Linked DNA regions of Xenopus tropicalis. The protein of the gene in region 1 purifies or fractionates together with the protein of each later gene. This does not show direct contact. Links are inferred from orthologs where the notes say so. Each region holds a gene or a part of one and is shown in the gene's direction. Other genes may lie near its edges.

What was found.
Region 2: the proteins of krr1 (region 1) and kri1 purify together in Homo sapiens (affinity purification with mass spectrometry; 3 studies listed by BioGRID and IntAct, with this or other methods). This does not show direct contact. The link is inferred for Xenopus tropicalis from reciprocal best matches to the Homo sapiens genes KRR1 and KRI1.
Region 3: the proteins of krr1 (region 1) and gnl2 purify together in Homo sapiens (affinity purification with mass spectrometry; 3 studies listed by BioGRID and IntAct, with this or other methods). This does not show direct contact. The link is inferred for Xenopus tropicalis from reciprocal best matches to the Homo sapiens genes KRR1 and GNL2.
Region 4: the proteins of krr1 (region 1) and noc4l purify together in Homo sapiens (co-immunoprecipitation; 3 studies listed by BioGRID and IntAct, with this or other methods). This does not show direct contact. The link is inferred for Xenopus tropicalis from reciprocal best matches to the Homo sapiens genes KRR1 and NOC4L.

Annotation. Positions count from the first base shown.
Region 1 is NC_030679.2:61,101,758-61,108,091, reverse strand, and holds the start of krr1 (KRR1 small subunit processome component homolog), read left to right. Parts: upstream 1-1,890; 5' UTR 1,891-2,039; coding exon 2,040-2,109; intron 2,110-2,370; coding exon 2,371-2,546; intron 2,547-2,761; coding exon 2,762-2,896; intron 2,897-3,987; coding exon 3,988-4,113; intron 4,114-4,198; coding exon 4,199-4,282; intron 4,283-4,369; coding exon 4,370-4,426; intron 4,427-4,899; coding exon 4,900-5,070; intron 5,071-5,965; coding exon 5,966-6,043; intron 6,044-6,127; coding exon 6,128-6,221; intron 6,222-6,334. UniProt on the Homo sapiens protein: Part of the small subunit (SSU) processome, first precursor of the small eukaryotic ribosomal subunit.
Region 2 is NC_030679.2:138,190,499-138,197,158, reverse strand, and holds the start of kri1 (protein KRI1 homolog), read left to right. Parts: upstream 1-2,220; 5' UTR 2,221-2,338; coding exon 2,339-2,414; intron 2,415-2,859; coding exon 2,860-2,933; intron 2,934-4,157; coding exon 4,158-4,263; intron 4,264-4,464; coding exon 4,465-4,555; intron 4,556-4,860; coding exon 4,861-4,912; intron 4,913-5,058; coding exon 5,059-5,108; intron 5,109-5,345; coding exon 5,346-5,439; intron 5,440-5,676; coding exon 5,677-5,754; intron 5,755-5,851; coding exon 5,852-5,973; intron 5,974-6,054; coding exon 6,055-6,181; intron 6,182-6,362; coding exon 6,363-6,458; intron 6,459-6,656; coding exon 6,657-6,660.
Region 3 is NC_030678.2:84,699,162-84,705,021, reverse strand, and holds the end of gnl2 (nucleolar GTP-binding protein 2), read left to right. Parts: intron 1-501; coding exon 502-914; intron 915-2,615; coding exon 2,616-2,677; intron 2,678-3,377; coding exon 3,378-3,457; intron 3,458-4,498; coding exon 4,499-4,648; 3' UTR 4,649-4,688; downstream 4,689-5,860. UniProt on the Homo sapiens protein: GTPase that associates with pre-60S ribosomal subunits in the nucleolus and is required for their nuclear export and maturation.
Region 4 is NC_030677.2:156,452,260-156,458,036, reverse strand, and holds part of noc4l (nucleolar complex protein 4 homolog), read left to right. Parts: intron 1-309; coding exon 310-430; intron 431-1,293; coding exon 1,294-1,400; intron 1,401-2,043; coding exon 2,044-2,151; intron 2,152-2,225; coding exon 2,226-2,375; intron 2,376-2,772; coding exon 2,773-2,875; intron 2,876-4,325; coding exon 4,326-4,360; intron 4,361-4,449; coding exon 4,450-4,500; intron 4,501-4,655; coding exon 4,656-4,767; intron 4,768-5,213; coding exon 5,214-5,274; intron 5,275-5,432; coding exon 5,433-5,543; coding exon of another isoform or gene 5,544-5,547; exon of another isoform or gene 5,548-5,630; coding exon 5,631-5,777.

The DNA of each region.
Region 1 (6,334 bases):
TGGAAAAATCGTAAAATACCGATCATTACGAAAAAAACGCATTCAGACGCCTTCGGACCGTTCGTGGATTAGTAAATCAGCCCCTTAGTGTTACCCCCTTTTCTGGATTAAAACAACAAGCCTCATTTACCTGCGGGGCCTGTAAATTACTGGGCAGGTGGAACTCCTACTTTTATATCTCACTTGCATACCCACCAACTGGCCCGCTTTTCGCGGGACAGTCCCGCTTTTCATGGCGCATCCCGCTGTCCCGGATAGTTCCATGAATGTCCCGCATTGCAGGACATTCATTAAACTATCCAGCACAGCGGGATACGCTGGCTGGAGCCGGACGTTCAGACTTCCCCGGCAGCTTTACTCCTTATGCAGCGCGACAGGCCCTTTTATAAGGTTGCGCCTGTGGGTGTGACGTCATTACGCACGGGCGCAGCCTTATAAAAGGGCCTGTCGCCGCCGCATAAGGAGAGGAGCCGCAGACGAAGGAGGAGCTCCTGTGGGGGGTAATGTGTATGGGGGGGCTCTGTGTATGGGGGGATCTGTGTATGGGGGGGCACTGTGTATGGGGGGCTACTGTGTATAGGGGGCACTGTGTATGGGGGGCTACTGTATATAGGGGGTACTGTGTATGGGGGGCTACTGTGTATAGGGGCACTGTGTATGGGGGAGCTACTGTGCATAGGGGCACTGTGTATGGGAGGGCTACTGTGTATAGGGGGTACTGTGTATGGGGGGGCTACTGTGTATAGGGGGTACTGTGTATGGGGGGGCTACTGTGTATAGGGGGTACTGTGTATAGGGGGTACTGTGTATGGGGGGGCTACTGTGTATGGGGGGCTACTGTGTATGGGGGGCTACTGTGTATGGGGCACTGTGTATGGGGGGGCTACTGTGTATAGGGGCACTGTGTATGGGGGGGCTACTGTGTATAGGGGGTACTGTGTATGGGGGCTACTGTGTATAGGGGGTACTGTGTATGGGGGGGCTACTGTGTATAGGGGTACTGTGTATGGGGGGGCTACTGTGTATAGGGGGTACTGTGTATGGGGGGGCTACTGTGTATAGGGGGTACTGTGTATGGGGGGCTACTGTGTATAGGGGGTACTGTGTATGGGGGGTTACTGTGTATAGGGGGTACTGTGTATGGGGGGCTACTGTGTATAGGGGGTACTGTGTATGGGGGGTTACTGTGTATAGGGGGTACTGTGTATGGGGGGGCTACTGTGTATAGGGGGTACTGTGCATGGGGGGGCTACTGTGTATAGGGGGTACTGTGTATGGGGGGGCTACTGTGTATGGGGGGCTACTGTGTATAGGGGGTACTGTGTATGGGGGTTCTGTGTATGGGGGACACTGTGTGTGGCGGGGCTCCTGTGTATGGGGGGTCTCCTGTGTATGCTGGGCAAATCTGGTACATAGTTATAACTCACTTATAACTGACTGCCTTCTCTCTATATTTGTATTTTAATGTAGGAGTTGTTATATTGTTTTCCTTAGGTAGTACAGTATGAGGGTATAGCACATTTGCGTCTGAACCTGCCATTTCATCTATATAAAAGGAGTATTTTTTTAAAAAATTGGGGTGTGGTAATTGGGGCGTGGCCACAAAAGTGGGCGTGGTCAAAAATTGCTTTTTGTCCCTCTTTTCATTTTTCAAATGTTGGGAGGTATGCACTTGTCCTAGAATATATTTCCACCCCTTTTTGAGGGAACTTTATGTAAAAATAACTTTTTTCATGAAGGCAACATGGAAAAGGTCAAGATTGACAAAAAATAAAATAAACACAATGTAATGTGTAATAGTGACTGCCTATGGCATCTTACAGCAGCGCTTCTGGTATTTGCCAGAATCCACAGACTGATATCCGGATCCAATAAATTTCTCTTCGGCTAGGTTGTGGTGCAAGCATAAAAATGCTGTAAAAACGTGGAACATAAGCGTTAGCGGAACCTATTGGAACTAGCTGGACTCCTGCCGGAGAGCATTTTATGTTGCCCACTTCCCGTGTTTATGTCACGTGTTGGAGCCGGCTAACTGCAGCATGGCGGAGACCGAGCAATCTGTGGGACCTAATGCAAAGGGCAAAAACAAGAAACGCCAGACCCAGCCGGGTGAGTGCTGCTTTCAGTTCTTTGGTAACACCGCTATATTTGCTTTAATGTCTGAGATGAGAAAAAACAAAATGGAGCCGTACACATCTGCTGTATGCCTATATATATATATATATATATATATATATATATATATATATATATATGAAGGCAGTCATTTTACAAGGCTAATACAGTTGTTATAAAAACGTAGACGTCAAAGAGCTCAGTTCATGTTGCAGAACGGCATCCTTTTAGCTATGTCTTTATTTTTCTTGCTAGTGGAGGAATCTGAACTTCTTACTGTCCCTGATGGCTGGAAAGAAGATCCTTTTACAAAGGAAGATAACCCAAGAGGATTACTGGAAGAAAGCAGTTTTGCTACATTGTTCCCCAAATATCGAGAGGCTTACTTAAAAGAATGCTGGCCGCTAGTTCAAAAGGCATTAAATGAAAGTGTATGGATTGTTTATTCCTATTAACCATGTATACCACAAAGTATATCTACACTAGCATTTCAAACCTGAAAATGTTTGCTTACTACTATACTTTTACACTGGGAAATAACAGTAAAATTACAACTTAACCCATTAAAGAGGTTTTGTTAACTGCTTTTTATATTTTTTTTATCAGTGTGTTTTTATGTCACTTTAATGCTGATTCTGTGTGGCAGTTTGTTAAAGCAGAGCTGGATTTGATTGAAGGCAGCATGACTGTCACTACAACCAAGAAGACTTTTGATCCATATGTTATCGTTCGAGCCAGAGACTTGATAAAGTTGCTTGCCAGAAGTGTTCCGTTTGAGCAGGTTTGTGTTACATGTAAATATTTTTGTACAATGACCATTGCTGAGTTATTGTCACTGAGACGGTCAAATTTGTTAGAATCTCCCCGGAGAATTTGTTCACTAAACTCATAGTCTGGACGGGTGCTTCATTTCACTGAAAAAACATACTAGCCCAGGGCTCTAATTTATTGAGCATTGCTTGAGTCTAATCCCAGTGATCATTGTGGCTGCTTTGAGCTTTTTACTGCACTTTTGCATGCCCTATACTAGCAACCATAAATGACGATGGTGCTCGGTATTTTAGTATGCTGAACCATTGTGTTTTTAAGTGAAGAGCAGCATCAGCAACTGTATACACTTACATCTCTAAGTTAATCACAAAACAAAAACTGTAGTACCGTGTTAGCCAGTGTCAAAAATAATAATAATAAAAAAACAACAAACACAAATATGAGAGTATTGTAGAATACCTATATTGGCTAACAATAAAAATACATTGCAAGCTTTCGGAGCTCTAAGGCCCCTTCATCATCATCATCATTTTGCCTGATGAAGGGGCCTTAGAGCTCCGAAAGCTTGCAATGTATTTTTATTGTTAGCCAATATAGGTATAATTTCTACAATACTCTTGTATTTGTGTTTTGTTGTTTTTTTATTATTATCTCTAAGTTACTAACCCTTTCCATGTCCTTTAATTGGTATAATGAATGGATGGCAGTGTCAGAGTGCAGAATAAGTGGTCTGAAACATCTTACATATTTTTCTAGACTATTACCACATTCTTGGGGCACACATTAAGACATTTGGGATCATACTATCAAACCTGTCAGTGATTACTTTTTTTTGCCAGTTTCAGGTAGCACAATGAAAACAAAGTTCCTCACAGTGACACATGGGGGCAAGAGGGCACAGACTAGGGGTAGGAAGAGAAGGTACCTGACTGGCGCCCCCTTATCATCATGCCCTAGGCAGGTGCTTCTTCTCCCTACCCCTAGTTCTGACATTCTGACCCTGAGTAATAAGATAATAATAACAATAAAGACAGAATTTCAGATTCAGTGCCCATTTCACATAAAAAGATGTGAATGACAAAGATATTTGTTTCCATCTAGGCAGTAAGAATACTACAGGATGATATGGCTTGTGACATTATTAAAATAGGCTCCTTAGTTCGAAACAGGGAAAGATTTATCAAAAGGAGACAACGGCTTCTGGGACCAAAGGGATCAACTTTAAAGGTACTTAAAGTATGCAGTTCTGGGAACTAAAATATGCTGTGTAATAATAATGGAGATGCTTATTTAAACTACTATTTCCTAACAGGCACTGGAGCTTCTTACAAACTGTTATATTATGGTTCAGGGTAACACAGTGTCTGCGTTGGGGCCATTTAGTGGATTAAAAGAGGTAAGATGAGTAGATTTTGCATTATTGTGGTTAATAAAAGGAAGAAAAGAATTAAATTTTAATAAACAAATCTTTCTTCTTGTGCAGGTTAGAAAAGTAGTTTGGGATACAATGAAGAACATTCATCCAATATATAATATTAAGGTAACTATATAGGGATGTGGTTTGTAGTCAACATTTGTGTTAAGGTTTTCATTTTGTGTATTTGAGTGGAAATTTTTGTTTAATCCTGTCTAATTTATTGTGAGCCAGTCCTCTTGTGTCTGCTAGCCCTGTTTTTTATGGATGCTGATCTGTGTTCTACTCACATAATTGGAGACGATAGTGTAGAAAGATTTAGTTGCCTTTTATGCAAACTAATGCAAACAAATTATTGGATAAAATGTCAATAATAGATACCTGTATGTAAATGTATTTTACTGTGTGCAAGACAGATGTTACGCTTGCATGTGCATGAACAGGTCACTTGGGTATAATGGTCAATGGTACAATGACTAATCTGTTAATAGACAACCACTTTTATCTGTAGTTTTTTTGGGGTAGGAAAGTTATTGAAAGAGTTGGGTAAAGCAACCATTTTTTTTTTGTAAATTGGCAAATATTTAAAACATCCACAGGCTTTAATGATAAAACGTGAGCTGGCAAAGGATCCAGAATTAAGATCCAAAAGCTGGGAGAGATTTCTGCCACAATTTAAGCATAAGAATGTAAGCAAGCGAAAAGAACCAAAAAAGAAGAGTGTAAAGAAAGATTATACACCATTTCCACCACCACAACCTGAAAGCCAGGTATGTTGTTTTTTTTACTTTTCTAAGATCAATTTAAAGGAGAAGGAAAGGTAAAAACTAAGTAAGCTTTATCAGAAAGGTCTATGTAAATACAGGCATAAGCACTCGCAGAAATGCTGCACTGAGTTTGTGTCAAAAGATTTGTTGTGTCTGTCTTCCTCTGCCGGAGACACGCAGCTCTCTCCCCTCTCCTGCCCTCCCTTAGGAATGTGGATCTGAGCCAATCAGCAGGAAGCTGACTCACAGTCTAACTAACTGAGCATGGGAACTTTCTTTACACAGCTCAGCGTTTTTTCTTCCTGTTTGGCCTCTGATCATTTGAACAGGTGAAATATGGGGAGACTTAAGGGCACTATTGAGAGAACTGAAGGTGTGCCTGCAGCTTGAGGTTAACGCTTTATTAGCCTTTCCTTCTCCTTTAATGGTGCTTTCTATAGGATCTCTACTGTGTATTTATCTCTGTAATGGACATTACCCAGCCTTGTTATGTTAGATGCATTTACAGTAATTATTGTATGCTTTAGTTTTGACACTACACAGCATGTCTTTGGTAGTTAGCTAATTTGACAGTGCTTCTCACTCTGTCTTTTTATTGCTTTGCTGAAGGGAAAGGTTCCTCTGTATGTTTTTACCAAATTCTTTGAGTCTTATCTGCACAATTCATGTTGGATCTCTCGGTGGTCAATCATAGCTGACACAGATACCTGTGTCATTTAAAAAATGAAATAAAAAATGTTTTAAAATTGTGTGAGTTGTATAAGCATTGCTTAAAAGCATTTTCACATTGATATTGTTATTTTGAAGCACAATGCTGTGCTCAAGTTTTTACAGTTGATATAAAGATAATTCAATGTACAATGTTAATGTTAAATTGTTTTAACATTTCATTTGATAGATTGACAAAGAACTGGCTAGTGGTGAATATTTCCTCAAAGAAAGTCAGAAGAGGAGGAAAAAACTGGAAGAAGTAAAGGTAACATTTATGTTTTTTGATAAACCCTTTCTGTATCATGCTCGTGAATATGTTTTGTTTATGCAGCCTTTTCTTTGTATGCAGACAAAACAGGCAGAGGCAGTGACTAAAAGGCAAGAAGAAAGAAACAAAGCCTTTATACCACCTAAGGAGAAACCAATAACCAAGCCACAGAAAGGTAATGGCATTACATTCATTTCACTGATATTAATGGAAGTACTTAAATGATAAACATATAGTCCTAATGGGTGAGTGCAGAGGACCTCTTGTCACAACCTCATTGCACCCCTG
Region 2 (6,660 bases), about 77 Mb from region 1:
CCTGAATCCTGTTTGTGCACTGATCTACCTGGCATGCCTGGGGTTAATGCAATGCTCTGAATTCATTTTCTGCAGTAATCTCATTGGCATGCCTAGAGTTAATGGAATGCCCTGAATCCTGTTTTTGCACTGATCTCCCTGGCATGCCTGGGGTTAATGCAATGCCCTAAATCCATTTTCTGCAGTAATTTCACTGGCATGGCTGGGGTTAGTGCAGTGCCCTGAATCAGTTTTCTGCAGTAATCTCACTGGCATGCCTGGGGTTAATGCAATGCCCTCAATCCTGTTTGTGCACTGATCTTGCTGTAATGCTTGGGGTTAATGCAATGCCCCAAATCCAGTTTCTGCAATGTTCTTACTGCCATGCCTGGGGTTAATGCAATGCCCCAAATCCAGTTTCTGCAGTGCTCTTACTGCTATGCCTGGGGTTAATGCAATGCCCCAAATCCAGTTTCTGCAGTGATCTTACTTCCATGCCTGGGGTTAATGCAGTGCTCTGAATCTGTTTTTTTGGCTCACAATATGGACATTTGCCTTAGGCCACTGATTTTGCTGATATTCTGTTCTGATTCTATAGGTTAGCCCCCAGGCCAATGCTCACATCAAAAAGGAGATCTCATAAATGATCATACCCCGACTGGAGTTCCTATTATTATTATTAACATTTATTTATAAAGCGCCAACATATCCCGCAGCGCTGTACAATAAGTGGGTTTCATACATTGGACATACAGAGTAACATATAAAGCAATCAATAACCGATACAAGAGAGAAGAGAGCCCTGCCCAAAAGAGCTTACAATCTACAAGGAGAAAGGTTTGAGACACATTCCTAACCTGGCCAATATTGGTCAGGAAGCCCCACATACAACCCAATAAGCTGCTGAGTCGGCCCAGCACACTGTGGGCAACATATGATCACACTGTCATAGTCCTTATATTGTGCAACCGTGTAATGGGGTTAAAATCAGTAATAACAATAATAAATGGGGGCTGTAGCCCTTTTCATCAGTGGCCAAACACCTGATCCTTACATTCTTGCCGGAGATTTACTTCTTAAGACTACGAGGGGGGGAGCTAATACTTTCTATGGCATTGTATAGCCACATTGGAAATTCCCCAGAATAACAACAGATTATCCGCGCGTTGTGTATTGTCTGAATAATGTATCCCTCCCTTTATTTACTAATCCCCAACCTTCTCCGCGGCTTTCACTAAAACCTGCACTAATTGCTTAAGGTCATTAGATTTATTTTTTTTCCTTATAAAATGGGCTTAACGACATCGCCAAAATAGCTTTGTTTAACGTTAAACAATTTTAATGAGCGTGCTGCTTTTTAAAAGTTTTTTGGGCGCCCAAGTTCTCAACCCACTCAACCCACTTGCACTTTAGCAGCACGTAGATCGCCACCTGCTGGCTGAATTTAGTAAAGAAACGTAAGCCATTTAAAGGGGTAGTTCACCTTTAATTTAACTTTTAATAAGCTATAGGGTTACTTATTTTATGCAGCTTTTCAGTTGGTCTTTATTTTTTATCATTTTTAAATTATTAGCCTTGTTTTGACCAGTTTTCAAATGGGGGGTCACTGACCCCAACAGCCAAAAACCTATTGCTCTGTGAGGCTACAATTTTATGTATGTATAACTTTATTTATAAAGCGCCACAAGGGTACGCAGCGCTGTACAATCTCACAGAATTCAAAATTACACACAGGGAGGACAAGTGATATAATAAATATATATATATATATATAAGTGCCATGTGGTATGAGACAAAGAAGGAAGGAGGTCCCTGCCCCATAGAGCTTACAATTGTTATTGTTACTTTTTATTACTATTATTATTTCTATTCAGCCCCTCTACTATTCATATATAAGCCACTTTCTCAAATCACTCCGTTACTAAGGTAAATTAGACACCCTAGCAACCAGATAAAGGCTGAAATTCCAAACTGGAGGGCTGCAGAACAAATAGTAGAATAATTAAAAAAACTGCCAGTAATAAAAATGAAGGCCCACAGGCCTTGTGCATTTGTGCATTTGTGCTGCTGGGGTGCTTATGTTACTGCTGCCAGGGGGCTGGGGACATTCTGAGCTCTGTTCTACTAAGAGAGTAATTTCACCAGACCAGATTAGTTGAACACTTGAGGGAATGTATATAAATCCCACCATAAAGGGCTGTACACACTGTGGAACGCAAGACCCTCCCCTATTTGGAACGCAAGACCCTCCCCCTGTTTCAAACCCCGCCCACGCTGTTAGCGGATTGGCTGTTACTGCGTGCCACACTGACGCATTGAGGCGACTTCCTGCTCACGTGTTTCCGGGCTGGGGCTCAGCATGGCTGAACTGAAGATAAACCGCAAGTTCGCAGAGAGATACGATCGCTACCGTGAGAAAGAAGAGCTGCAGCGCCGTGAGTCGCCCGAACTTATCCGCTCTGGGTTACGGGGGGTTCGGAGAGTTCAGTTAACGCTTGAATGATAGATTTGTGTGGCCGCTGAGAATGCTGGGAGTTGTAGTATAGACAGTTTCAGTGGGTAATGGTCCCTGATGGTCCTATGACTTGAAATAGCTAAGGCTTGGGGGATTCTGGGTATTAAACATTCCTGTGGCCAATCATATTACCCATAATCATCTGTCAGAACACAAATGACCCAGTTGGTAAGATCAGTATCTGCTTATAGGCTGCAGTGCGCTCTGATCCCCCTGTTCCTCTCAGTGCTTCTCTGCAGCTGTCAGGGCATGCTGGGAATTGTAGTCTTGTAACTGTATGGCATTGTGTTTGGGATAGGAATTGCAGTCAGTTATGATTTAATTGAGGTATTAATATGTCTGCTAATCTGTTCCCTTCTGTGCAGTCAAAGACCGATATGGGGACCTGCCAGAGGAAGAGGAGGGCACCTCCAGCTCCGAGTCTGAAGATGAAGAGATGGTAAATACAGTCTTATTCATCATTACTTGTCATGTGTGTATCACCCTGCAGTGGGAGGGGCAGACTCCATGTCCCATAGCCCCCTCCTGTCTGTGTCACTGTATCACCCTGCAGTGGGAGGGACAGACTCCGTGTCCCATAGCCCCCTCCTGTCTGTATCACCCTGCAGTGGGAGGGGCAGACTCCGTGTCCCATAGCCCCCTCCTGTCTGTGTCACTGTATCACCCTGCAGTGGGAGGGACAGACTCCATGTCCCATAGCTCCCTCCTGTCTGTATCACTGTATCACCCTGCAGTGGGAGGGGCAGACTCAGTGTCCCATAGCTCCCTCCTGTCTGTGTCACTGTATCACCCTGCAGTGGGAGGGGCAGACTCCGTGTCCCATAGCCCCCTCCTGTCTGTGTCACTGTGTCACCCTGCAGTGGGATGGGCAGACTCAATGTCCCATAGCTCCCTCCTGTCTGTGTCACTGTATCACCCTGCAGTGGGAGGGGCAGACTCCATGTCCCATAGCTCCCTCCTGTCTGTATCACTGTATCACCCTGCAGTGGGAGGGGCAGACTCCGTGTCCCATAGCCCCCTCCTGTCTGTGTCACTGTATCACCCTGCAGTGGGAGGGGCAGACTCCATGTCCCATAGCTCCCTCCTGTCTGTGTCACTGTATCACCCTGCAGTGGGAGGGGCAGACTCCATGTCCCATAGCCCCCTCCTGTCTGTGTCACTGTATCACCCTGCAGTGGGAGGGACAGACTCCGTGTCCCATAGCCCCCTCCTGTCTGTGTCACTGTATCACCCTGCAGTGGGAGGGACAGACTCAGTGTCCCATAGCCCCCTCCTGTCTGTGTCACTGTATCACCCTGCAGTGGGAGGGACAGACTCCGTGTCCCATAGCCCCCTCCTGTCTGTGTCACTGTATCACCCTGCAGTGGGAGGGGCAGACTCCGTGTCCCATAGCCCCCTCCTGTCTGTGTCACTGTATCACCCTGCAGTGGGAGGGGCAGACTCCGTGTCCCATAGCCCCCTCCTGTCTGTGTCACTGTATCACCCTGCAGTGGGAGGGACAGACTCCGTGTCCCATAGCTCCCTCCTGTCTGTGTCACTGTATCACCCTGCAGTGGGAGGGACTACATAACACAATGTTATACTCGTTACGCTGGGCCTGGTAGTTCCTTTGTTATGTAGAACAGTATACAATGTGTTATTTACAGACATATTTGATTTCCAGGTAATTGATCCCAAGCTGGACAAGGAGTTCTATCGCACGCTGTCACTGCTGAAGAGGAAGGATCCCAGAATCTACCAAGAAGATGTCACATTTTACAGCAATGAAGGTAACGCACACAAACACACACTAAATTAGAGGGATTATTATAGGGGGGGTCATACATTGCATTACAGGAGAAGGTGAGGACTGTCGCATGTTGTTGGATCACCGCTGAGTGTGGCTCCGCCTGTCTGGGAAATGATGGAGTTTCAGATAAACCCAGCCCTCACTTCTTTCATGTTATTTACCCCTGTCTGTTATTTTTTAGGAGAGTCTGCCTCAGGCCAGAGTAAAGCGGCCAAAGAGAAGCCCATGTACCTGAAGGACTATGAGCGCCAAGTCATCCTAGAGAAGGAGGGGTAAGCAGAGCCGCCAGTGCTGCAAAGTACGACTCCCCGAGAGCCACTGCCGCCCCTCCTATTGGGTAAAACCTGTTACATCCTGTGCTTTATGTGTAACAAGCGCCCAAAGGTGGGGTGGCACGGCCATGGGATTGGGGTTGTTCGGCAGATAAACAAAGTGTGCCCTGAAAGCAATGCCACCCTCTGCTGTTCCGAGGCCATATGTCCTGCCTCACTAACTGCCCTCTGTAGGTGGCTGTATGGCAGAAAGGCAGAATAAAAAAAGATAGGATACACAAGTAATGGTTTGTTTTCCCTTTAAGCAAATATGAGGATGAGGAAGATTCAGAGGAAGATGATGATCTGCAGGATCAGGTGAGAACATTGTTTTTGTAGCCATAAAAACACCATAGTGAGGCTGCATCCTGCTGTACGTGGGCTGGGAAATGCATGAATGTGGGGGAAGCCATTATATGGACACATAGGATCACATGGTCAGGTAATGACTTCCTGTTTTGCAGAGAGCCCGCTCCCCCACGTACCTGGAAGAACAGAAGCAAATCAGAGAGAGGTGAGTCTGGTACAAATGGAATGAAGGCTTCTCGCGCTCAGGGGATGTTCTAAGCAACCAATCAGCTGGGCTATTGCTAAGCACTGATTGGATGCCGCCCAAAGGCACCGCTTCCAATCGGCTCCCTGGGCGATAATGTGTCTGTATGTGGTTTTCTGGGTGCCGTTCTGCAGGAGTTGGTCACTGGCGCTTCTGAAGGGGACACATTTAACCCTCAATTCTATGGTTCCTTTGCAGCTTCCGGACGTTTGTGGAGGACAGTGACAACGAGGACGGAGAGGGAACGGCGGGGAATTTATTGACGAGACGAATAAAGACCAAGAAGGAGCAGGTTGGTGGTGGTTAAGGAACTCTCTCTCCCCAGCCTTCCATTAGTGTCCTGCCTATTGCTGTTTATTTATCTCAGTAGTTCAGCTGGATTGTCTGACTATTGGTCTGTGTGTAGGTGAGGCTGCAAGCCTATTGGCCAATAGGAATTTCTCACAATGCCTAAGCTATCCTAAGTACAGCCATCTTTACCCCGTGCTTAATGTGGGGCCCATTAACATGTAATGTTTGGTTGTTACAGGAGGAGGAGGAAGAGGAATACATTGCCTGGCTGAAGGGCCAGAAGGAAATCCATGATAAAGGGGAAGTAAAGGAGATGGTGAGTGGCTGGGATAATGCTTCATAATAATAATAATGTCCTCTCTGTCATCCTGAAATGGTTTCACTCACTGCAACTTTCCTTTCTGTTCCATTAGGGGTTCCTAAAGGAATATTGGTCTGACCCGGCTCTGGATGAGGGGGAGAAATTCCTGCGGGATTATATACTCAACAAGGAGTATCTGGAGGAGAAGGAGGACTCTGAGGAGGATGAGGAATGGTAAGGTTTATATCATTATACATCTAAATACATAATATAAGTATATAATATTGATTAACTTGCCCCCTTCTCCCTGCGTAGCCCCCCAGCCCTAGAAGAGGCCCCACATGTGTCAGATTCAGAGGACGAGGGGGAACTTTTCCTGAAGAAACAAGAAGATTTTGAGAGAAAATACAATTTTAGATTTGAGGAGCCGGATTCTGATTTGGTTAGTTATACAGTTTGAGCGACAGACCTGAGCATTTGTGATTGGCTGAGTGCTCATGTGACCCATCTGTCTGTCTGTATTTTAAGATGGAATGAGCAGCTGCGGGGCTGCTTGGGGGACCCCCCCATCCCCGTTGCCATGGGATTCTGGGGCTCTGATAGTTTTCTCTCTCTGTTCCCAGGTTAAGACTTTCCCCAGAACCATCGCACAGTCGGTGAGACGCAAGGACGACCGGAGGAAGACTAAGAGGGAGGAGACCAAAGAGAGGAAAATGAAGGTGGGTGGGAGAAAAGGGCGGCAGCGATACAGGGTGCAGGGAGAGCAGGAAGAATAAGGGTGAACTGCAGGCATCCCTGCCTCCCAGCATTCTCTCTGGGCCTAATACTGACGTCTGGCCAAGCAGGGTGGGAGTTGGCGACAAGCACAGGCAGAGTACATAGGTTTATTAATGGCGCCACTGCAATCTGTTCTGCAGGAGA
Region 3 (5,860 bases), on another chromosome or scaffold:
GCACCCACTCTGATTAGAAGAAATGAGGTTCCGTCTAAATATTATGAAAGGGATTTTTATGCCGAGAGCTGTAAAGTTGTGGATTTCTCTTCCTGGGAGACATTAGATAACTTCAAGAAGCGGTTGGATGGCTTTTTAGCAAGTGAGAAAATACAGGGTTATTGATATTAGCTTTTAGTACAAGTTGATCTGGGGACTAGTCGTCCTCCTCTGAGGCTTCAGTTATGGCTATTGCCTTACTCTCGATCAGCTGACAGGCAGATTTTATTTAGTCCAGAATGTAGAAACTTGGTTGGTTGTGTCTTTTTTGAACCAAAGTTACTTTGTTACTTCAGTACAAGCAGATGTTCTGAATGATGCTTGTGTTTTTAAAATATTTTTTTAACAAGATTTTTTTCACTTATGTTTAAAGCTTTATCCTGGCAGTAATCTTTTATGGTTAGCCTAAGCGAATCAAATATTTACATGTGAAAAAACAATAACTGTTTTTGTAATTTACAGACAGCACAGGCATTGGCTACTCCTGCAGATACCAGTAGTGTTACTAAGGAGCAGTCAGAGGAAAATGATACAACAGAAGCTTCTCAAGAAAATCCAGACAGAAATCAGATCAAAGATCTCATGTCCCATGTACGACAAAACTTTGGCAAGATCAGCGTGGCACCAGAATTCTCAGAGGAAGATTTAGTACCTATTGAAGGAATCCCAGATATCTCTGATGTTGAGTCTGAAGAAGAGGACTCTGCAGAAGAAGAAACAGAAGAGGAAAGCAGTGATATGCTAATGGGTGAAACAAAGGATTCAAGCACCAAAGACAGAAGTTCTAAAGCACTGGTAAAAGAGTTAGATGATCGGATTGCAAAGTACAAAAAATTCCTAGACAAAGCCAAAGCCAAAAGATTTTCTGCTTTAAGGTAAAGTATGAGTCTTTCTGAAATAGAGAACAGGTTTAGGGAGATAATAACTAGAATAATAAGTCTTAAGTTGTGGGCTTTGTATATAATAGCTTAGCATAATAATAGCACTTAGCTGCCATACCATTCTTCATGTCAAATGAAAGCAGCAAGAATAAACTGCAGCTGCACTGGAATAATTGTTGGGGGAGCCCATACCTGCCCTATTGACTTGGTTTTCTTGTATCCAATGGAAATATTAGACATTATTCTTTCTGTGTATGTTCATTACATAAAGCTTTAAAAACTACTTATTCACTTCAATATACATCAATCACCCAGTCCAAGTCTTAATCTCCACTGCTTTTCTATTGAGTGAACCTACAACTGCGAAGTCTTAGTTTGCAGCTGGTTTAATCTTGGCACTTCAACAGCTTCACTAGTCCGGTAATCTTCCTGGAATGGTATTGGGTGATATTCGCTATTCTTTCTCCCAAGATACCATAATTAATTCACCAGCATTCTCTCATGTAACATCACAGCCTGGCTGTATGGAAAGGTCTTGCTGGGACTTCTCTGTATTGGGAATCTGGAGATGTTTTTTTAAGACCTAGACCATCTCTAAGGGATTTGAAAAGTGCTCACTTATTAAATCTAATGATTCACTGAATGTTCTTTGATTGAAGACTTTCCAGTTTTCAAATGGGTACGTAACATTGTCTCGTTAGCACTTGTTGTGCAAGAGAATAAAATCTGTGCCACATGTGATGGTTTGGGATACTTGCCACTGGATCTGCTTTGCAAGATTCGCTAATGAAATATTGTTGTGTTGGCACTTTTTATTTAATCCACGTTATATGAAAAGTGTAATTAAGATATTAACACTGGTGAGGAAAGTATGGAACATGTTGTTCATTTCAGCAGGAAATGAGAACAATGTCTTTTAAGGCACAGGGAAAATAAGATTTTTTTTTTTTTTTTTTAAACCTTTAATCCTGACAAAGACAAAGATTTTGCAAAGTTAATCATGCAGGTTTTTAGAACACATTCTACAAAATGTATGACAATAAAGTTAAAGGATCACTTAGGTTAGTTAAATTGATCCAGTCTGCTTTCATATGTCTAGCAATACGTTCGAGATGAAATTCTGGCAACAAAATATTTGCTTCCAAAAGCTCTGTATGTCATCAATAAGAATAAAATGCTGCTAAATGGGTCTTATAAATGGGTATAAAATGGCGTTGATAGTGTGATAGGTGTTGAATGAAGTGTAGTACATTTTGTAAATGTACTGTGTGTGCGTCACTTTCTTTACCTTTAACTTCACCTGTTTCTTCATTCCTATCATAAATAAGTGATAAATCATAGTTGAATAATGTGAAATTACAGATGGTTAACATATAAGTAACTAAGTTTATACTGGAGAATATGAACTGTTTGCACACTCGCTTGTGTACGCAGGCCGAATAAAAAAGAATGACATAGGTTTAATGATAACTTGACCATCAAGATTGCTTGAACTTTATTAGTAACAGAAACAGACTATGTACTTAAGAAGTAAAGTGTCTATACAGTTTCCTTGTAAATTGTGGGCATTTGTGGGAAGCTATTGTCTAGCTTATAAAAATAGATAGAAGTTATATTACCAATAGTGGTTACAGAATTTTACCATTGCCTACTCTGTTTAAGCACTTTTAATAAATGGGATTTTTTTCTTTGTAGAATTCCTAAGCATCTGACAGAAAACCTGTTTACAAAACCAAGTGAGGACCAACAAGATAAAGGTATTAATGTAAACTCGATCCCACTTACGCATTCATTGCCTATGTTTACTGCCCACATTATTATTATTCTCATCATCTTTCCTACCTTCAAATGGGCCATTGTAAGCATCATATTGATGATAAACTCCAGTTAAACAGAGCTGTAGTCTAACAAGGAGGCTGTCGTATCTGCCCCCACTAGCTGACAGAATACCTCATAGGCTGTGCACTGTTTGCATGTAACCCTCTCTTGTGATTAAAAGTTCTTTACTAAATACATATAGGAACCTTCAGTATCATATAAACCCATTGACCACTTTTGCTAGCCAGTTGTATATGTCACCTCTGGCACAAAAGTGTGAAATCTGTGTTTGGGAAATATAGGACCCTGGTGTAGCTATCCGTTAAATACAATGTGTAGTGATGCTCGGTTCAACGAACAAAAAGTAAACCCTCATCTGACTGTAACCCACCCTCTCCCGACCCAAGACCCACCTAACCCAGTGCACTATTCTGATTTTTATGCCTTTCCTTGTAAGACATCACTGGAGGGGGCATGCCAGGCAAGCTTGGGTATACAATTATGTGATAGCCCCCAAAAGGAGGGGAGAATTGGATTGAGCTAACTGCAATCTGCTGGCCTGATCCTGCCTGACCTATGCAACACTAACATCATGTTTATAAGTTGTTATTTTTAAGTTAAATTCATAATGTATTTCAGGAAAAGGAAAGAAAAGAAAACAATGTGATGCCGATGAAGAAGATAGTGAACAGCCACAAAAGAAACTTTCATCAAAAGAGGTTTGTTAATTTGTTTTTAAGATTAAGCAATATAAATGACATGGAGTAAAACTGGATGTACACATATAGATTGGTGCATGGTTATATACAACTGTAAGGCAAATGCCAGCAGCTTTGTAAGTAAATCACCAATCCTATTGCACAATATATTTGATAAATGCATTTCATTTATAGTACTACATGCATCTAGACAGCAGATAGATTTTTTTTTTTTTTCAGATTCACAGTGGCTATAAAAACTATTTGCCCCTTGACACTTTTTATGTGTTTTTTGTCTTAGAAATCACAGAATTTTATCTTGTCTTTTTGACACCAATTAGCTGATTTAAGATACTTTCACGTCAAAGTGAAAAAAGAACTATGTGAACTGATTTAACTTAATTAAAATAAAAACATATTAATTGTAGTATACACCCCTATACATCTTTGGCAGCAATTACAACATTAAGCCTGTGTGGATAGGTCTCTATCAGCCTTACACATGTGCATTTTTTTTTTTTTTTTTTAACATTTCTCTGTGCGGCTGCTCAAGCTCTGTCAGGTAGCATGGGGATTGTGAATTAATAGGCCTTTTTCAATTCCAGGTTCAGAATCGCTGTTTTGGATTGAGATCTGGACTCTAGGCTAACTGGGTTAACTTTAGAACATGTAGTGTCACCAGTTTTGACAATGATGAGTGTGGCTTAATTGGCCAGTTCCAATGATTAGGAGGAGTGGCTCTTATGTAAATGAAGGCAGTACAGTTATACATGCACAAAAGGGGTTGTCTACCTTTTTGCCTTGATGTTTAAAAGTCTTATTTTTGTTTTATTTGTATTAAAATTAAGAAACTTGCCTGATTCCTGGGTATAGAGATATGGAGTGATGGGCGAGTGAGCCAGAGAGGAGAAAGCTGCCAAGAGGATTAATTGTTTGCAAAAGAATAAGGAAGAGTCCTGTTGTTAACATGTGCAAGTTGCCATCTTTCTAACACTGAGAGATATGTACATGTGATTTAAATGTATTTCTTTTTTCGTTAACCTTTTTTCCTTTACTTTGCAGAGGAGAAGGCAAGAGCGCCAGCAGCACTCTAAGAAAGTTGGTGTGCGGTATTATGAAACTCATAATGTCAAAAACAAGAATCGCAACAAAAAGAAAACAGACTCCCAAGGCCAGCAAAGCAAACACAGAAAACAAAAGCTTAAACACTGATGTCTAAAACTGTTTTGCAATTAAATTACTTGAGACTTTTTTTCAGTATGTCCTTCATAATTATTCAAAGCTCCATCTATGTGTGAGAAAATAATAATCCCCACGGCTTGCTACAAATGAAGCTTTTACGCTGATACCTCTTCAAATGGTACAGTCTCTGTGTATAACATGAAGGCCTTCTCTGCTTCTCTCTTTATTTATGATACCAAGAGCATCTTTACTTTTAAGTGTCATGTATAAGCCCTAAAGGGTAAGTAGGATATGTGGGGCAGCTGAGGAGTTTTTGTGGACGTTATCTTTTTCAGCTATAAACTTGCCACTCTTGTATGGTCCAACCATTGTGTGAAACACATGCATGTTTTATATGATGTACTGGACACAGCTATGTTAAAAATCCTTAGCTTATCCTACTTTACCTTTTTTGTTCTTGAGATTTTAGCTTTGGACTATAAATTAGGAGCTAGAGTAAAATAACAAGTTGCTAAAGGAAACTATATCATACAATTATTTAGTAAAAATGTATCACACCAGCTAAAATCTACTTCCACTGGGATGATTAACATAGCAAACTTTTTTTTCATAATACAGTTAAAAATAAAAATAGGATGTTGTCAACTATGCCTAATTTACATCCATTTTATATAAATGTCTAAATAGAATGAACTCTTTTCTCCTGCTAAAAACTTCTGTAAAAGGAATTTGTATAAACTATACTGAATTAGACTCATGGAGGACTCATCAAGGAAATCACTGTATGTCCTATAGGCTGAAGTTCATCCACTGGGTTTTAAACAGAGCCAGGGCAGCTGCTTATCATATTTCAGCTATAGACTGGCTTCAGCTTTATTGGGGCTCATCAGTGCAGTGATTTCTCATCAGAATGTGGGAGCCACAAAATGTGGTTTTACATAAACAGCCTATTCATATGCTCACCTTTTTTTATCATGAGGGATAGCACAAAATAACATATGATGCTGAGGAAACTGAGAACAAACTCAAGAAGGTGAGAGTGGAAAGAGAATATATTTAAAAAAATATATAAAATAGAGAGTAACAACAACAGAAACTGAAAAACAGGGGTGGAACAGTAAAGAGCAAGTTTTTGGGGAAAAAGGAGGGGGTAGTGACTCAATAGGTGGGGTCCAGGAAGAGAGAGATCAAAAGGGTAAGGGGGAAAGAAAACAAACAAAAAAAGCACATATTGTCAGAAAG
Region 4 (5,777 bases), on another chromosome or scaffold:
ATTATATAATGACCCTTCACTTATGTTTAACTTGTTAACTTATTATACTATCACTTTAAGAATGTTTCCTGAAATGCTGTGTGCTTGGTGGGTCATAGGTCAATTTGGCTTTAAATGAGATCACATGGTTATGGTCTTTGTACACTTGATAAAGGGTATTAACCCGAAACATGTCGTGTTACCACTACCCATAATAAATGTTTTGCAGTTAATCTGCTGGAGCTTTTTTTTCCTATTTTTGGATTTTTGCTATTGTTAAAACCAGTTTCTTCTCTTGATCCTCTAATAACCCGCATTTGCTTTTGTTAGTCCAAAAAGGAAGAAGTCGTGCAAGCTGCTATTCGAACAACTTCTAAACTATTTGAAGTTTTTTTGGAAAAAAGGGAACTTTACATAGGAGATTTACCTGCAGAGGATGACAGCCTTCCAGGTAACCATCGCTTCAAAACTAGTGGGATTTGTGCTAGATTAATTAAATGTAAATCCAAGTATGAAATAAATCCCAACTCTTTGCCATATATTTGCAAATGAAGTCCTTATTTGGTGGCTAAAGGGCATGGAAAGCTTAATACACTTGGGAACTGTTTTCTCTAAAAAAAAAAAAAAAGCTATGTGCTGCTATCTTACCCTGTCTTCTGGTGGATTCCTTTTACCCTACTAAATCTGGACATGAGCAGTATAATTAAAGGAAGAAGTAATATTATACTACACATATCCAAGTCTAGGAATCTGACTGAGACTGAAGAGATCTCTGGGAAAAGCTGGCGGTGCAGGCCTTAGAAAGACCAATGGGCTGATGCAGATTTATTCACTGGGGTGGATGTCTGACAAAGTGGTGCTCCCCAGAGCTATAACTTTACTACAAGTAATAATATCCATGGATTATAGCAGGGATCCCCAACCATTTTCACCTGTGAGCCACACTCAAATGTAAAAAGAGTTGGGGAGCAACATAAACATGAAAAATGTTCATGAGGGTGCCAAATAAGAGCTGTGATTGGCTATTTGGTAGCTCCTATGTGGACTGGCAGCCTAAGCGAGGTTCTGTTTGGTAGTACACCTGGTTTTTATGCAACCAAAACTTGCCCCCAAGTCAGGAATTCAAAAATAATCACCAGCTTTGAGGCCCCTGAAAGCAACATCCAAGGGGTTGGTAAGCAACATGTTGCTCACGAGCCACTGGTTGGGGATCACTGGATTATAGGAGCTGTAGTTAACAAAAGCTGTTTTTTTTTTTTTTTTTTCTTGCCGTTTGAAATGCAACTAAATACCTCTTCCTTTGCATGCCCACAGACACATGCAGTGCAGAAGACAAGTACAAAATGTGGATGAGACATCGCTATAATAGCTGTGTGACCTGCTTGCTGAATCTTTTGCAACACAGCTCTTTTTCTGTCCAGGTCAGTTGTGTTTTATGTGAGTAAATCTGGCTTCTTGAATTTAGCAATGCAGAATTTAAACAGTTACAGATTTTCATTAAGAAGGGTGTTTTGGCTAAACATATTAAATGTATGTGAAGTTCGGTACACCTTTCATCACCTGATAGTAAAAGAGTTAACATGGAATAACTGGAGGGTTGCATGTTTGACATCCTGTTTTAGAATCCCTTTCCCTGTTCGGACTTCTGGTGGAAAGACAAAGACTTCTTCTGTGTTAAGTTATTTACACATAAGAAGTTTGGGTCTTCAGAGCTGCTTTTGCTTATTTAGTGCCTCAAGGTATTTTTGACCATATGTCTGGTAGTCTGCCCCTAAGTAAAAGAAATTTCCACCACTAAAGATTTACAGCAGGGGGCGTAATCATGACAGGGTCAGAGAGATGAGGGGTGGCATGAACCAAGTAATTATTTTCTCTGTAGACTCTCAAGTGAAGGCATGGGAAGAATGTGTTTTCTGATTGTGCTCTAGTGGGCTTTTATTTGGCAAGTGTTTTGTTTTGATTTCACTAACAAAAGGAAGTAGGGCTATTCACAGAAACCTGGCGAGGAGAGGAGTGGAGTGTTGGTCACTGCTTTTAACCAGATATCATTTGTGCTTCCTACAGGAGCTTGCCCTGTGCACACTGATGAAGTTCATCCAGCTGGAAGGAAAATTCCCTTTAGAAAATTCAGAATGGAAAGAAAGCTACCGGTTTCCTATAGAACTGTTAAAGGTAAGAGGATATTCAATGTGGAGAGTTTGCCACTGATATTTCTTCTTTTAATTACTGACTGCTGTGCATTTTAGTTTGTTATAGATAATTTGCTGCAGGAGGAAACAGACTCTACCCTGTTGATCACACGTTTCCAAGAATACTTGGAATATGACGATGTCCGCTACTATACAATGACTGCGACTAATGACTGCATTGCACGAGTACAGCAAAAGACCAAACAGGTACTGACACAAGCGGGCCAGCACTGCATTTAGTATTACTAGGGCTTTCAATGATTTGGAGCAGTTTTCGGACCTGGGATATGGGATACTGCAATGCATTTTCTAGGAGCATGTGTGGGAAAAGATAAATCCCTACAGTTGCTGCAGATTATCTCTGGCTGAATTTCATATTGTACTTAACCTTGCTGGCACTCAGGTCCATTTTGATCTAGCTTAGTATTAAGGCAGTGCATATGGCATTATACCAATAATTTTGCCATTTCACAGTTTCATAGCTTGTTGTTTATCAGTTTCAGGAGCAGTGACCAAGGCCATATGCTGTTGCTTTTGGTCTCCATAAGATTTCTCACAACTGATCTAATTTAAGAAAACTGATTTTTTTTTTTTCTGTTCTCAGGTCTTACCACCAGTTTTCCAAACCAATGTGTTTTGCTTACTTTCCTCAATTAACATGCCAGTTGAGCAGAGTTCTTTGGAAAATTTCCTAGTAACCAAAAATGGTAAGCACGTCTCACACATTTCCTCTGACATCTGTAAATTGCTTGTTACAATGCTATTTTCCAATTGCTTTGTGCTTCAAGCCATGCCTCATGGTTTCTTGCAAGAGGATTATGATGCTGCAGGAGAGCTGTGTGTGTCTTCCACAAATGAACTGTCAGCAGTGGAAAGTTGGCAGTGCATGCATAGAAGCTTACCAGATGAAGCAACAGGGGGATCATTTTTATTAACCTTTGTAATTGTGTTGTAACCCTAGAAATATTTAAGAAAATTTAATTCTTAGCACTTTTCCAATATACTTTCATTACAGATTCTCAGTAGCTACAATTAGAAATAACAGAAAACATATTTTTTTTATGATTAAAACAATAGTAAAAGTATGTACAGCACAAGCCCTATTCATTGTGATCTTCTTGAAAAGGGGGTATACTGCTCCTTTAAAACAAAGTTAATCAGCTAGCTTCTGCTACATTGTTTCAAAAGTCATAATTACCAGGGTATGCAATAGCAATATTTAGACAGCTTTTAATAGCAGTTATATTTTCAAATAACTTTAAAACCATTGAAAAGTTGTAGTTAATGTATTATGGGGAGTTGATACTAATATTTTCTACTAGGCCAGAAACACTCCTGTAGTTCTGTATACAATGAAAGCATATTGCCACAGAAATATGGCTGTCTTGTAATCCTTACTGCAATTCTCGTTAAAGTTGCATTAATCTCAAGTATGTTTCAGTTATTTGAACATATAACTCCCGTGAAATTCGTTCCATGTATCGTCAAACTGCAATGACAATTGATAACGCCATTACTCCTGCAGCTGAAATACTGGAGCAAATGCAACCCTTTTCGAGGGACAGATTTTACAGCTCGCACAGCCAAATCTCCCTTAAAAACAATAACCCCCAAAACCCAAGAAATACTTCTTTATTCTCAAAATGACCAGATGCATGGTTTTTCCTCCTCATCACTGCTAGTGATTAAACTTCTGGGAGTTGATTGAATCTTATGTTCATAAAACCACGTTTTTATAGTGTGGAGATATTTTTATAGTGTTGCAAGAAACGAGCACTGGAAAAACTAGTCCATGTAATATGTGCACATATCGGAATAAAATCCAGAATTCCAGCAATGCTACCAAGTAAGCTATCAATACATCCTAGGCCTCCACTGTTTTTGCCCAAGCTCAGCAGGGGTCAAAATGTTCTGCCAGCCATCAGCATTAGGCTTTATGGAGTTGCTAACATTTGTCTCCACCTGCTTTCTGTTACATTTGCCCTAGAGAGTATTTTAGAATGTTTCCAAAATTACTTTGCAACAGCAGGAATCAGGACATATGCAGCTTAATATTGTGTGAAGATACAGGCAGAACTAAAAAATGTAAATATAATCTAAGAATAAGTTAAAGTACCAAGGGTATGTAATTCTTTTTTTTTTTTTTTTTCCCCGCAGCAAATCATGAAGACTGGAAACCGACAAAATTAAAGGTAGCTGTACATTGCATTGAATGTTTGAGACATCCTGGAGGCATTCTTATTGCTGTTAACGTCATTATATTTTTTTTTTCTTTCTTTAGGAGCATAAAAGAGTATTTGAAAGGGTCTGGATGAGCTTCCTGAAGCACCAAGTGAGTGCAGTATACACCTTTGCCAATGCTGACTCTCAGATTTGATTATAATGAGCCAATTGGTTTCATCCCTTATAAAGCCTGTTTGATCATTGTCTTTACAACTATGATTTCCAACAAATTGCATCAAGTATTCCTGTTTTGTTTAATTCCAGCTTTCAGTCAGTCTGTACAAGAAGGTGCTTTTGATCTTGCATGAAAGTATCTTGCCACATATGAGCAAACCAACCCTAATGATAGACTTCCTAACTGCTGCATATGATGTTGGTAAGTGACACTAAGGGGTACATTTACTAATCCACGAATCCGAATCACGAATGGGAAAAATCGTATTGGAAACGAAAATTTCGGAAGATCGCAAATATCACGAAAATGCTTACGTAAAAATCGTATTAGTCACGATAATATCGTATTGGCGATCCGAAAGTCACGAAATTTTCATACCGAACAATTGTAAACAACGGTAAAACCTTTCCGATTTTTTCGTGCAAACGTCCGAAAAAGTCGTGCGCCGTACGAAAAAGTCATGCGGACGCCCGAAAAAATCTGCGAAAATACGCTCGGAGCGTTCGCATGAACGCTTGAGCATTCGTGCTTTTGTAAATGTGCCCCTAAGGATAATGTAATAAATCTTGAAAAATTTGCAACAAATATAGTAAACCATATTAACTTGATAACATAAACCAGTTATTAATTATCTATTTTTTTGCCAGGTGGAGCCATCAGCCTACTAGCCCTAAATGGGCTATTTATTTTGATTCATCAGCATAATCTGTAAGTTTTTAAATATTATCGTTAATGCTAACTGGTAACATTTGTTAGAATTCAATTAAATTTTGGGTCTGTAAGTGATATTCATACACTAGTATTCCAATTTGAAGCACATTAAGTTCATTGAGCTTTATGTGAGGTTTTTTTTCATTCCCCATCAGAGAATACCCAGATTTTTACAAGAAGCTTTACTCTCTCTTGGAGCCCTCTATTTTCCATGTAAAATATCGTGCTCGTTTCTTCCACCTGGCCAACCTGTTCTTGTCGTCCACGTAAGTCCAAAGACTTAAACTTTTCCATGGATTAAGCCTTACTGTAAGGTTCCCCTGCTTAATTTGTATTCTTATCACATCTCCAAGGCATTTACCAATTTACCTTGTTGCTGCATTTGCAAAGCGTCTGGCCCGGCTCACCCTGACAGCCCCTCCTCAGGTGCTTCTGATGATTATCCCATTTATCTGTAACCTGATCCGCAGGCACCCAGCTTGTCGTGCTCTTATTCATCG